Linked DNA regions of Neodiprion lecontei. The protein of the gene in region 2 purifies or fractionates together with the protein of the main gene of each other region. This does not show direct contact. Links are inferred from orthologs where the notes say so. Each region holds a gene or a part of one and is shown on either strand. Other genes may lie near its edges. The genes, in order: intraflagellar transport protein 122 homolog and WD repeat-containing protein 19.

Evidence for each region.
Region 1: the proteins of WD repeat-containing protein 19 (region 2) and intraflagellar transport protein 122 homolog purify together in Homo sapiens (affinity purification with mass spectrometry; 4 studies listed by BioGRID and IntAct, counting the BioPlex papers as one, with this or other methods). This does not show direct contact. The link is inferred for Neodiprion lecontei from reciprocal best matches to the Homo sapiens genes WDR19 and IFT122.

Annotation. Positions count from the first base shown.
Region 1 is NC_060261.1:2,456,901-2,464,815, reverse strand, and holds intraflagellar transport protein 122 homolog, read right to left. Parts: upstream 6,183-7,915; 5' UTR 5,804-6,182; coding exon 5,751-5,803; intron 5,500-5,750; coding exon 5,390-5,499; intron 5,249-5,389; coding exon 5,128-5,248; intron 5,040-5,127; coding exon 4,829-5,039; intron 4,765-4,828; coding exon 4,691-4,764; intron 4,613-4,690; coding exon 4,342-4,612; intron 4,265-4,341; coding exon 4,103-4,264; intron 4,023-4,102; coding exon 3,725-4,022; intron 3,638-3,724; coding exon 3,267-3,637; intron 3,177-3,266; coding exon 2,784-3,176; intron 2,693-2,783; coding exon 2,553-2,692; intron 2,484-2,552; coding exon 2,209-2,483; intron 2,136-2,208; coding exon 1,909-2,135; intron 1,825-1,908; coding exon 1,437-1,824; intron 1,268-1,436; coding exon 1,095-1,267; intron 993-1,094; coding exon 831-992; intron 718-830; coding exon 607-717; 3' UTR 576-606; downstream 1-575. Other genes in the region: uncharacterized protein LOC107221624, read right to left, coding at 70-199; tRNA pseudouridine synthase A, read left to right, coding at 6,457-6,503, 6,646-6,759, 6,898-7,032, 7,135-7,284, 7,370-7,616, 7,726-7,915. UniProt on the Homo sapiens protein: As a component of the IFT complex A (IFT-A), a complex required for retrograde ciliary transport and entry into cilia of G protein-coupled receptors (GPCRs), it is required in ciliogenesis and ciliary protein trafficking.
Region 2 is NC_060265.1:8,950,218-8,955,190, reverse strand, and holds the start of WD repeat-containing protein 19, read right to left. Parts: upstream 3,259-4,973; 5' UTR 3,048-3,258; coding exon 3,033-3,047; intron 2,499-3,032; coding exon 2,119-2,498; intron 1,949-2,118; coding exon 1,738-1,948; intron 1,408-1,737; coding exon 1,295-1,407; intron 1,185-1,294; coding exon 767-1,184; intron 459-766; coding exon 225-458; intron 158-224; coding exon 32-157; intron 1-31. UniProt on the Homo sapiens protein: As component of the IFT complex A (IFT-A), a complex required for retrograde ciliary transport and entry into cilia of G protein-coupled receptors (GPCRs), it is involved in cilia function and/or assembly.

The DNA.
Region 1 (7,915 bases), on a different chromosome or scaffold from region 2:
ATTGTATCACTTTTTGGGGTAAAATTATCCCTGAGAGATGAAACTCAACTATGTAATGATCGAACTTACATTTTCCTTGACGCTCCAATGGAGCATCTTGAAATGTCGTTGCATCTCCCAGGGATTGATCCCAGGCAGCACTCTGACCAGATGCTATCGTTGCGACGGCAAAAATCACTGCAAGCAACACGCTGAACATCTTTACAGTTCCGTACAACTGATTGAAAAGGTAGGATATCACTCGCCACTATGAGATCTCGGTAACGGAGTGCTGTTTACTTAGCTGTTGGAGCAATTATCATGTGCTTGATAATTTCCAACAACTGTAATTTCTTTCTTGGATAACTGTGACTATACTTATTTTACCGCTAGGTATACGTTTACTTATTCATTCTATAACTATTACTGAATTTTTCAATACTATGATATATTACTGTGAACTGGTCATTGACGTTATCAAACAATAAATAGCGTGATATGCATAATTGTTTAAAATTTATAACAACAAAGGGAGCTGAAATTAATTTGCTAACAGTCGATAAATAAATAGATTGATCATTTCTTTATTCCTATGAGGTGTGACTTGTTTTCTATAGATATTCCTTTTCACGTTGCGTGTCTTGTAATTTGTTCTGCTCTAGGTAACTGTGAACTTCTACAGAACGGACAGTGGCCGTGACGCAATATTGCCAATTCGTAGTCATCTGAATGGAATAACTGAAAAATCATAAACACACTTCTCGTTATATTAATTACAATACTTCTTCAAAGCATCTTTAGTGGCTCGTAAGAATTCGGGCACTAACAAATAAGCCCCAAGTTAACGGTACCTTTAAACATGATTTGCACAAAGTTATTTGAAGATCCGGCAAAAGATTTCTGAAATATCTGGTCTTGAAGGGTTTTGGCCAGTGTGCAATTAGTACGCTGGACGGTTCTATACTTGCTAAAACACCTCGACCAACGGTAATTCTTGATTCGCCTGTCTTATCCTGCGAACATTGAAAATTTGTGTAATATTTCTGAAAAATAATTGCAGCTACGAACGACAAGAGAGTATATATATAAATTGTTTGTAGAATTGTGATATATACCTCGTATCGTATCAAGCGAGCTGTAAACAGGTCGCCAACGGGCGTAGGTATGGTGAGTTGATTATCACTGATCAAAGAACTATCAGAGAGAGGTCTTGGCTCTTCGATTAATCTTTTGGCTTCTTCGTCAGTGATTCCTTCTTCCAACTCAAATTCAACTATAGGTAATATTTCTGGATAGGCAAGAGGTATTCACATTAAATAAGAAGAATATTGCGCTGACGGAATGAATATACAAAATAATAATCGACGATTTCTAGTGGAATTGGTCTCTCTGTTTATTTCCCCCATCTACAGTTTGAAAGTATTTACGAATAAAGTATCCTTTTGACTTGAACTTACCAAACATGACGAATGAATGCTGAAATTTAAGTCCGCACTGAACACATTTATTTCCAAAAATGTTGTTGGAAGGTAGAAGTGAATTGAAGGTAGAACAGCGGTAGCAAAGAGGTAGGAGTTCTTCAGGATCGCTGTAAGGATAAGCCCTAGCTGCCAAAGTTGAGACCTCCACTTGCGATAATAGACTTGCAGGAATTTTCATACCCCGTAATCGCTCAAAGAGCTGTGTTACCAATTTATGGGCACCGAGAATACGCGCTTGCTTAATCAGTGTATAAGTTATGGTGAACTGTGATACTCCTTCGACTTGTATATCTTGAGTTTTCATTAGCAAAAATCGAGATATATTGAACAAAGCCTCCGGCATCAATGAGGTGAATGGTTCTTCCTGAAACATGAAGGTATAACATTGTAAGAAGACATCCTACGATTATTGTACTGATTAGTCATCAACAAATGAATTACAACTCACCAAATATTTGTAAACTTCGTTATATGCGTAGTAAATATCAGCTTTATCATAATATATTTGAAAAGTTGCCATTATTTCGTCGGTACGCTTGCTCAAATCGAGGCTGAGTTGTGAAAGGATCCAATAGAAGTACGAAGCATCGCGGAATCTTTTTTCAGCCACAGCATTTTTGGCTAACAGTGTGAGAACAGATATCGATTCCTCAGGTTGACCAGCCATTTGAAATGCTGCCCATATAAAATCAGTTGAAATATTTAATTATTAACGAGAAATCAAACAGAGAACAATTTCGTATCGTACCTTCTTGAGCTTCAGAAAAACGACCAGTTTCAGCTAACCATCTTGCATATGGTCCATATACGCGAGATTTTAGTTTTGGATTTCTTTCCGCCAGTTCGAACGCCTCAGGCCATGCTTGTGCGTCTATCAAAACATCAGCGACGTCAGGATCATCTCCTAATCGACTGAATATTTCAGCAGCGCCATGCGTCGCGCCTAACTGTCTCAGTTTTTTAGCTATCATAGACAAACTGTCTCTCTCGGCCTTATCCAGTTGTCTTCCAACTTTGATGAGCCTGAATTGTTAAGATCAATGTATAAGAAAAGAAAATTGTTGGACTTTAAATTAGGCAGCTAATACACACATGTCGATCCAACCATATTCAGCAATGATATTAATGGCTCGTTGAACATCTCCAGCAGTGAGGAACATTTCTGCAGCTGCTCGAGGTTCTCCCAAACTTTTTGCCCACTCAGCTCTTCGCCTCAGTAAAATTGTTCGGTCCTGAGATGTAGACATAAGATCATTGGCTAAAATTCCTAAATTTTGTAAAATGAGATTAGAGCAAAAAAAATTAAAATTGTCTTTCATGTACCTGAGTGTTACCACTGGTGATAAATTCTTGAGCTATATCAAACATTCTCAAATCTGAATACATATTAAGAGCGTATTGTTGAAGTCCAGCTTTCTGATACAGTCTTGCAGCTTCTCGAAGTTTTCCCATTGCCGCGGCCGCAGTAGCCATGCAAGCTTCTCGACCCCATTCCCCAGAATTCAATTTTTCCTCAACTTCAGAAACGATATCGATATAACGTAATTTTTTAATACGCGAAAACGCCGCGTATGCTACGTTCAGTTCTAAGTGATCCAGAGCAGCAGTCCCCAAAGCGAGCCAATCACCTTCAGCTACGCCTAAACAAGCTATTGCAAAAGCTTCTTTAAACATTCCTCTTTCTAGGTACTGATACATAGATGATGACATTGGTACCTGAAATTCATTGTCATCTTTAGTCACTGTTACTAGTTTAGCCTAACAAGTTAAAAAGAGGTTTTGCGAGTTACATATTTGGAACCATACCTCTACCGTCAGTATCGCCGCTCCGTTTAAACAGTACAACTTGGACCCATTATGCCCAACAACAAAGCCGGAAAATTTTTGTTTGTATTCGTTAAAATCAGCGACTTTTACAGCCAAGTAATCGTTCCCTGAGTAGCACATCATATCCTCAAACACGGAATTGAATGCAACGCTTGTAACATCTTGGATTTCTCGTAATATTTCTTCTGTATTTAGATCAAACACCGTAAGCAAACCCGTGTCGCTTACTACGGCTAACTTTTCTTTGAGTGGGCTAATATCTAGACAGTGTATAGCACCTTCAACTTTTGCCAGCTGAGCTGGAAACGGATTGTCGAGATATATCTTTGAAACGTATCCGGTTTTCAATCCTGAAATATAATATTGACAAGTTTATTATTCATTATTAATTACTGTTAGGCTAATATCAATCTGGTAAGCGTAAAAATGAATTCAACCTGCAATGATGCATTCTTGACCTGATGGACCACCGGCGACTTTTATATAGGTAATAACGCCATCGAGAATCCACTCTCTTTCAATAATACCAGTAAAAGTTAGGCTCTGCAGTCGTTTGTCTAGGCACAGTACCAAATGGTTTGTGGTTACAACTAACAAATTGCAATTCAAGGACTGAGGAAGTTTGTCCCTGATGCGATAGTGCATTCCCTCGCTGTTTCCCGAAGGTTCATATATGATCACTCGTTCAGGTAATTGCACAGCGAGTCTATCTCGATAAACTGCAATTCTACAGACCTGAAATAACAATCGTGCAATTTCATTCGATCCAGGTTGGAGACGTAGGAATAATGAAAAAAACTTGAAGTACGGCTTACCAAATCTTTGCACTTAATTCGAACTTTTTGATTTGTAACCAGGTGCTGGATTATAACATCAGTCATATTTTCTCGATATGCATATCGGTCTCCGTACAAGCCGTGAACAGTATTCCAGGACAATTGAGAATACGTTATTGTTCCATCTTGACAACCAATGGCCTGGGACACAAAAGATGTTAGCCACTGTAAATCTATTTGCAAATTTCAATGGGATTGAGAAATAGAATTGAACGCACGACGTGTGAGGATCCTGGATGAACGGCGCAACTCCATACCCAGGATGAAAAAGTATCACCAATCGAAGCCAGCTGAATGCCGTCATGGGTCATTAATAAACAGCGTTTATTGCTGCCAGCTACAAGAATGTATTGTCCGTCAGGAAAGTAGGCTACATTCAGTGGAATGAAATTCAGCGACCTGTCCCTGCTCACTGTTTTTCCAGCCAGAGTGTAGAAGGAAAGACCGCCGCCCCAATCAGCGACGCATAACACGTCCACAGAATCGTCCCTGTTGTCGGTAAAAATAAAATTGACACTTCCAATGATTCTTTAGTGAGAAGAATGTTCCAGAAATATTTCAGCTTACTTCAATGGGCTCCAAGACAAACTCCAGATTGGCGTTCCCCCTGCACGATCAATTCGAGTCTTTTCTTCTCCGTTCTGGAAACAATCTTTCAACATTATTACGTTTCAATTAAAAATCTGAGATAATTAATGGACGAACCTTATTTCTGATAGAAACATATCCCAGCGCAAGTCCAATGGCCAAGTACTGTCCATCCTTTGTCCAAGCACAGCAATTTACTCTTCCTCCAGACTTCAGCTTCTGCACAGCCTTCTGTTCAGTGGACCAAAATGCGATGTCGGAAAGTGCACAGCTGAGCAACTGGTGCGAGACAGGATTAAATTGCATCGCTTGAACAGCTTCACTATGGCTAAAAAATTTGCTTTGCATTATTCATTGGCACATACAAAGGCTTACGTAAAAACGAACCGGCGTAAAAAGCTTTAGTAATGTCTTACGAGTATTTTAATATTCCTTCGAGCTTGGAAGTCCATATAATAACGCTTTTGTCTGCACTACCAGACGCAAACTTCTTTCCATCTCTCGCGTAGCAAACGCAATAGACGACATCTTTGTGTCCTAAAATGTAGATTTGAATTAATCGTGATTTGTAATCTAGTTTAGTTGACTAATTAAAATGCTGCACAATCTGGTATAATAGTGGAAAAGGAAGGGCATGATCTGTGTTATATTGAGCAATAAATTATAGGGATAATATACCTTTGAGTGGTTGTACAAGCGCACCATCATTGGTTTCGTAGACAAGGACTTGACTGCCAGCAGCGACTATTAATTGGGTTCCATCTGGGTTGAAGCAGAGATCATAGATGCTGAAATAAATTTGGGAACAATCAATTCAATAATGAGGATTAAGAAAGAAGAAGGAAAAACTGTTTATGAATGCGTTTGCATGTGGAAAATACTATGCAAACTTTGGTTTTCATTTGAATGCTGTATACACAAGAGTATGCATACAGATTAAACAAACTTTGCATATAACAGTGAAATACTGAGATACCTCATAATTGTTTGTTCAATTGTTTGCCGTGTATATAAATTTATGCTGTTATTGATCACTTACCATTGGTCTGTTTTATCTTGAACTTTATCAACCCATGTAGGATGAGATCTCATTTTAATAACTTCAGTGTAATAAAAAGGATGCCTCTATTCTCTAATTCGTTCACTAGCAATGAATTTAGCAGCCTATTGTCATTGTAATTTAGGTTCAAGAACCGTTAACCACTTGAGTCTACCCAAATGCATATATACATTGCTATTTACGTCTAATAAGCGCACGCTACTGGGTCGAATCAGTAGTTTGTTTTGATTTTTGACACTTCGCAAATTAAACCGGTTACCGGGGCAACGTGATCCAGATTTCTGTGGCGTTCTAACCTCACTCTACAATACTAGTCTCAAAGTCTCAACATTTATGAGGTTGAACTTAGTAACGTTGCTTTAACGATGCATGTTTACTTCGCACCCTTAGGATTGACTGAAATTCAGCTATTAAATCATAACAAATAAAATATGTTCATATACTGAAAAGTCAACTCCTTGAAAGTCGTTCTAAAATTGTACTACGATTTATTCCATGATGTTTTTTTACGTTAACGTTACTAACTTCAGACCTGTCAACATTTATGGACTCAACCTTAACCTAACAGAAATTAGTCGGGTTAGGTTAGGAAATTTCACGTGCCACATGCCGAATTCTACAAATACGACGCCTTCTCAGCTTACTCGATTATTAATATCACTTAGCACTGATTTAGCTGTAAGAAATGAAAAGATACTTATTATACATGAATTATATTGGCACCCACTTCAGGTACGCGTCTTTTATACAAGATTTAGTATATTTTGTTGTATATTACAGTCTTGCTTTATACTAATATTATAACAGTAGGTAAAATTTAGTCGAACCTAATTAATTTGTTTAATTTTCACACAATATACATGAACAATTGCAGTGGAATGCAAAGACAAGAGTCCATACGCACAATTCAAGGCACTATTGAAGAAGCATTGGCCGACTCCATTAAACCCCGAAGTCTATCTGAACCAATTCTTCAAGTTTCCAGCAGGTTTTAATTGCTGCTTATATGTTGTAAACATATTCATAATATGAGTATTAAAGAAATCGATGGGGCGGTTGAAAATTGAGTATAATCGAACACGGCTCAAGAATTTCCTAATTTTTACACCCACTGCAATTCTCACAGAACCGATAGCGGCGTTCATGCTCTGTCAACAACAGCCCACATCGACTTGATTCATCCAAAGAACGAGTCATACAATACGCAATATATGAAGCACAGACTAAATAAGACTTTTGCTAAGAATGGTCATGCGATCAGGTCAGTGTATTTATTAACTGTTATGCAAATCTTGGTCAACATTGTATCGATCTAAAATTTATTTACCTGTTTCAAAGACACGTATCAAATTTAACGACCCAGAATCACTTCCTGTTACCAAGTCAGCACAGACTTTCATGCCAGACATTCAGCCAAGTCTCGATCATATTTGTATCGTCTCATGGTTCCTAAGAAAGAATGTTATCAGGATATACCAGTCAGTGAGCTGTATCGATGTTTTGCACTTCTTGGGTACGCAACTATAACAGATTTTTATCCAAAAATTACTTATCAGTAAATTTCAGCTGTATAATAAAATACTATTGTCCGTTTTCAGTAATACTGGTCCCTTCGATGCGGAACGAGTAAAAAGGGGAACTCAGCTTTTCCTCGGACCTAAAGATTTTCAAACATTTGCTGGAAAAATAAAGAACAAGTATCAAAATAAAAAGGTTGTTTATGTCCGGCAACTTGATTACTTCACTGTGGAGAAGGGTCAGCCTTTAATGATTGATGATCCCCTTTCCACACAGTTCGATTACTGGGATTTCAGGTGTGGGGGTAGAGCTTTTCTTTATAATCAGGTAATGATCATCATTTGTATGGGTCAGACAATCGAACACTACGTTCCCCTATCTTGTCCTATTTTCATAATAATAATTAATATGGCTCTTTCAATATTTAACTTGGCAGGTTCGTCGAATGGTCGGAACCCTGATCACACTAGGACTAGGAAAAATTACGGAAAGAGATATTAGGTGTATGTTACAAGTTCCGTCACGTCATAACTGGGACTCGCGTGTTCAAGTATTGCCACCGTACGCTCTCTATTTATGCGAGGTAGGCTACGACCCGTTGGACTTAAAAAAGAATATTATTTGCG
Region 2 (4,973 bases):
ATTTATATTTGAGTCTTCTATAAAGTCTTACATCATTTCCGTAAACTAAAAAGTCGGGCGACAAAGCATGGCACGTTATTTTAGAATCCAAAGTGTTAGTTTGTGGAAATATTTTTGATTCAGTTGCACCGTTTGCCGAGTCCTGTTCCGTTTCTATCTGAAATAAAACCGCCAAGATTTTAATTCTTTATCTCTTACATTTTGCATACACAATGTAAACTCACAGTGTGTAATTGAAGCTTTCCATCAAACAGAACGGAAACAAAAGTTTGATTCAGGCATATACTCTCGACTGTCCCTAAGTAATCCCTTTCAAAATGTACAGGGTGATCATAATTGAATTTTGTTAAATTCCAAAATAATACTCTGTTATTCAAAGCTGCTGCTAAATGCAAAGGACCGACAGCCATTACAGATGGTTCTATCAGGGTATTGATTGTCTGCGGTGTTGGTTTACTCTGAAAATATTCATTTGTGTCATTATTTCCATATTCGGATAATAATATATCTATGAATATTTCGTAACGTCACATTTATTTTAAGCATGGTTATACTGATACAAACTGGATATGAAATACCAGATGGGGAGCTACAGGTGTGTAATTTCTTTTTAAAACATCCTAATCTTACCCAATCAACTTTGGTACTTAACATAAAATTGTACAAATAATTGGATTGAATCCCTTTTTTTGTCATTGTTAATATATTTTTCAGCTTATTTTTGCACCCAATTATTAACCATATTATTTGCACACAGTTTACGTACCTTATCAAGCATATATAAATGTACAACCACTTCAGTCAGGCTTGTTAAAATGGCAATTCTATTTCCACATACGCTGGTTATTTTTGGTAATTGCAATAAATAAATTAAAATGTTTCCATTGTGCGTCGCGGCGGCTAACATACTACCATCGGATGACCATTCCACGTGACTGATGCCTGTCTCTCCTGCCAAAGTTATCACTTTATTGGTTTCTTCTAAATTTTGTATACTGTGTACTTTCAACGTATTGTCGCCACATGTTACAAGTTTTCCAGCGATATTGTTCAGTGCAATATCATTTAAAGAATCTCGATGATTTTTGATTTGAAATAACTCTTGTCCAACTTCTTTGATATGCGTTGATATTGCTATTAGAAAGCCAGCCTCGAAACCAACCAATATGTAACCATCGCCATACCTGATTCACATTTTATAAAATACGCGATATAGATATTAAATTTTTTCGTTTTCTGTGATCAAATACCAGATATATTGTAGTAACGTATGCATTTTTCATAATGAACTCACCACTTGTGAGTTACGATTTGACCATAGCGCTTTTGAAACGCCAATTCAATGGGATTGTCTGGATCCAAAACATTGTATAAAAATAATGTAGTTTTGCTGACGACGAGCGATACCTGTTAAATAATACGGTTGATTATTAATTGCTTCGTACTTTTAATTGCTCGTTTTACCAATATCATACATACATCAATTAATTTTACTGCTATGAGCAATTTTCACCTGATTTTTTTTATCAATAACTGAAGATATGATTCAACAATTGAATTACAAATCACCCACCTTCTGTACCCCAAGAATAAACTAAATTTCACAGTTTCTTAAATAGATTTGAGAGACACGAATCTTATAAAGGGATCAGGTTGTGATAAAAGCATTCTAATATAAAATCGAGTCTTTTTTAACTAATAATTTCTTTGAAATTGTATATCAAATAGATAGCATACTGTGTTTTCACCGCCGATTCTCTGGTCCATTTTCATTTCACTAAATTGAAGGTCGGATGGCTCTCCTTGTATTGTTATTTCCCTACGTGTATCACCTTCGCACGTACTGATCGATAATACCTTATCTTCACTTGCCAAAGCAAGGAGGCCCTCCAATGACCAAGCGCCGCAAACAATTTTCTTTTTGTGCTTACCTAGAATAGGAATGCGTCTGAAAAAGAAAATTTGATATATCTGTAACATCTTATCAATATAAATTGGAAATGAGAGAATGTTTTCCTATCCATAAAGTTTTAAATCATCGAGGGTGTGCAATATAATTGGAAAGCTATCTATATACTGATAATGACTGTTCTATTTTATGTAGAAAAGGTCACGCACTTAGCATTAATATGATCGTAAAGCGCTAGGTTTCCTTTTTGCGTACCCACTGCAAGAGTGCAGTTCTTTTTCGACCAAATCATGCAAGTTAAACTATCTCTTAGTCCCGTGTCTATTTGGGATTTTTTTCCTGTCGTTGCATCCCACAAGGTAATAGCAGATGATCCGTTTGAAATCATAGCCAATAAATCTCCGTCGGCATCCCAACCCATGCCCGTACATAAACCAGGTAGTTGAATACGGTCTTGTATTTCCCCTTGGCGGTTGTATATCACAACTGCGGAATCGCAACCAGTTGTAGCTAAATATGTACCGTTGCCAGGGCGCCAAGCAATGTACACGTTTCCAGGACCATGCGGTTGGTCCAAGCGGTATAAAACCTGTGCACAGAAGTAATCGATTCAATTCACAATACGCAGAGATGAGAAAGAACTGTTTTACTGTGAGATGTCGCCAATATACATAAATTTTGTTTACGAACTCGAAAGCAAAAATAGATATCACGATTTGCGGACACACACAAAGCTAGTGTAAACTAAAGTGAGTTGTGTACACGTAAAACTCAAGTAAGAGAACTGATATGAGAATAAAAATTTGGAACTTTGGTGGAAAAATAGTGACTAGATATAGAAAGCATTAAAAACTCAGGTGCTAATTTTACAGTTAATTTTCAATTTGCAAACATCTATACTTGACAATCGATGGATTAAGAAAAAAAACACAATATTCAGGTGATTTTAAAAAACATATTTTACCTCATCAAGAAATGTTTAGGTAACAGCACAGGGGTGAGAATTTGTAATTAAAATGTATATAAATGAAGCTCTTCATTATCTGCTTGAAGCGTATTGTTGAGCTTTAGTTTTAATTAAGTAACGTAATAGTTTGATGTTTGACATTAATTCATAACCTACCTTATCTGATGCCATTCTTGCAAAATGGCAAACAACTTGAATCTTTACTAATAACTAATACATGGGACAGAAGTCATGATTGTTTATGTTAGCATCAACTCATTACACTGATATCGATTTATTTGACACATTTTCAAACTGAATGTCACTACAATCTCCATGTTGTTTATTACGTATCGCGTTTGGACGCGTCGCATGCAAGGCCGCAAACAGGGAGATCGAGATTTAAACTAGCGTGTGAAACTGTATAGGTGTGTTTCTGCCACGGTGTAAGAATAAGAGGTGGTCCGGTGTTGAGCTCTGTGGTTATTATGTCTTAGTACGACGGAAATCCGCCAGGGACCTCATGCGTCGGTGAGGATGAGGTAAACAATAATGGCGGCGATCTAACAGACAGTATTCACGAAAGTTTGACGTTTGCATGTGGAAAATCAAAACTGCTGCTGAAGATTACACGAATACATTAATATTTAACAAAATAAAATAATTTTATGATGAATGTATGTGACTATAGAATATAGGGTCCTAGATCACGCCTTCGGAACGCCGTAAAGAGATTTCGTATTTACGCCAAGTAGCACTAACATCTGGCATCTCATTTAATCTCATTCGAATGTATTTGATTCAGCACGGCCACATTCGAAACAAACGGTTTTCGAAATAGATATTTGGCCTGAAACCTTGCTAAAAATCTAGAATTTTTTTAATTCGTTTAATTTCATGTACGGATTGTGCAAATAAACAGTTTTAAATGAATTTTTGTTCAAGATGTTCTGTGCAGATTAGTTATTTCTTTGAACGATCTTGAAACTTTTGCCAAAATCTCATGAAGACATTATTCTTTGAGAATGACTAAATTTGTTTGAATTTTAGTAAGAACCCATTTTTAGAGAGGGCTGACATCGATGAGCGTTTCAGATACGACTTTTATTATGGTATTGCTGGAACTTTACAGAAATATTATTCTTTCAAACATTTGCTGTTAAATTTCAGCACTTTTTTGACAATGTCCATCATGTTCCATCTTAGGGTGGATTGTAATGCAATTATACTTTCAGTTCTCACAATATATGATATATACATTTGAAACGGTCGTTAAATTTTCCCTTTATCAATGATATGCGATTGTGATCATATTTTTCCTATAATGCAAGACTTATAGATCATCCTTTCTATTGAACACTGATGAATTGCTATTTTAGCACATTGGATTACATACTATTGCTCAAATATGTTGATTACTCGATAATTCAGTGATAATGAGGATTCGATGAAAGGGGAAGGCTTAATTTTATTCTACGTACTTTTGACTTCTCGATCGTACTTTTATTATATGATTTAATTCAATCACTTATTGATAGTGAGTTTGTGAAAGAAGAAAATCATCTATAGGTACAATAATTAGGTATATTATCATTTGAATTTGTTATTGATCGTGTCTACATGTTACAAATGAATGCAATACACAATTTTGATATTATTCAATAATACGGCAGTAAATACTTGATATACAATATGCAACGCGTTTATGCAACAATTAATAATTCTACATGTTACTCAAAGCTGAAGGGATAGTAAATACTCTCAACAAATTGGTATACAGACTATGAAGATAACTTCTGAGTAGAAATAGGTCCAAGTGCATACTCTAATTATCGTTAGAATTGGTATCATCGACAGACACACTGGTACCTTTTGATCCGAAAGTACGTTTTCCCGTTTTGCAATTATTTGTTTTATTTCATATCACATGAGAGATGGAATTATTGTAGTTTTATTATTTCAATAATTTATCTTCACGCATAATCCAAACTCGATATTGGAACAGGAATATCTTAGAAATTGAGTATCTAATGCGGATTTTTTATTGATTTCATCCAGCGAAGTAAAAATTATAATGTTTCACAAATTATGATTGCACACAATATATCAGTACAGTAC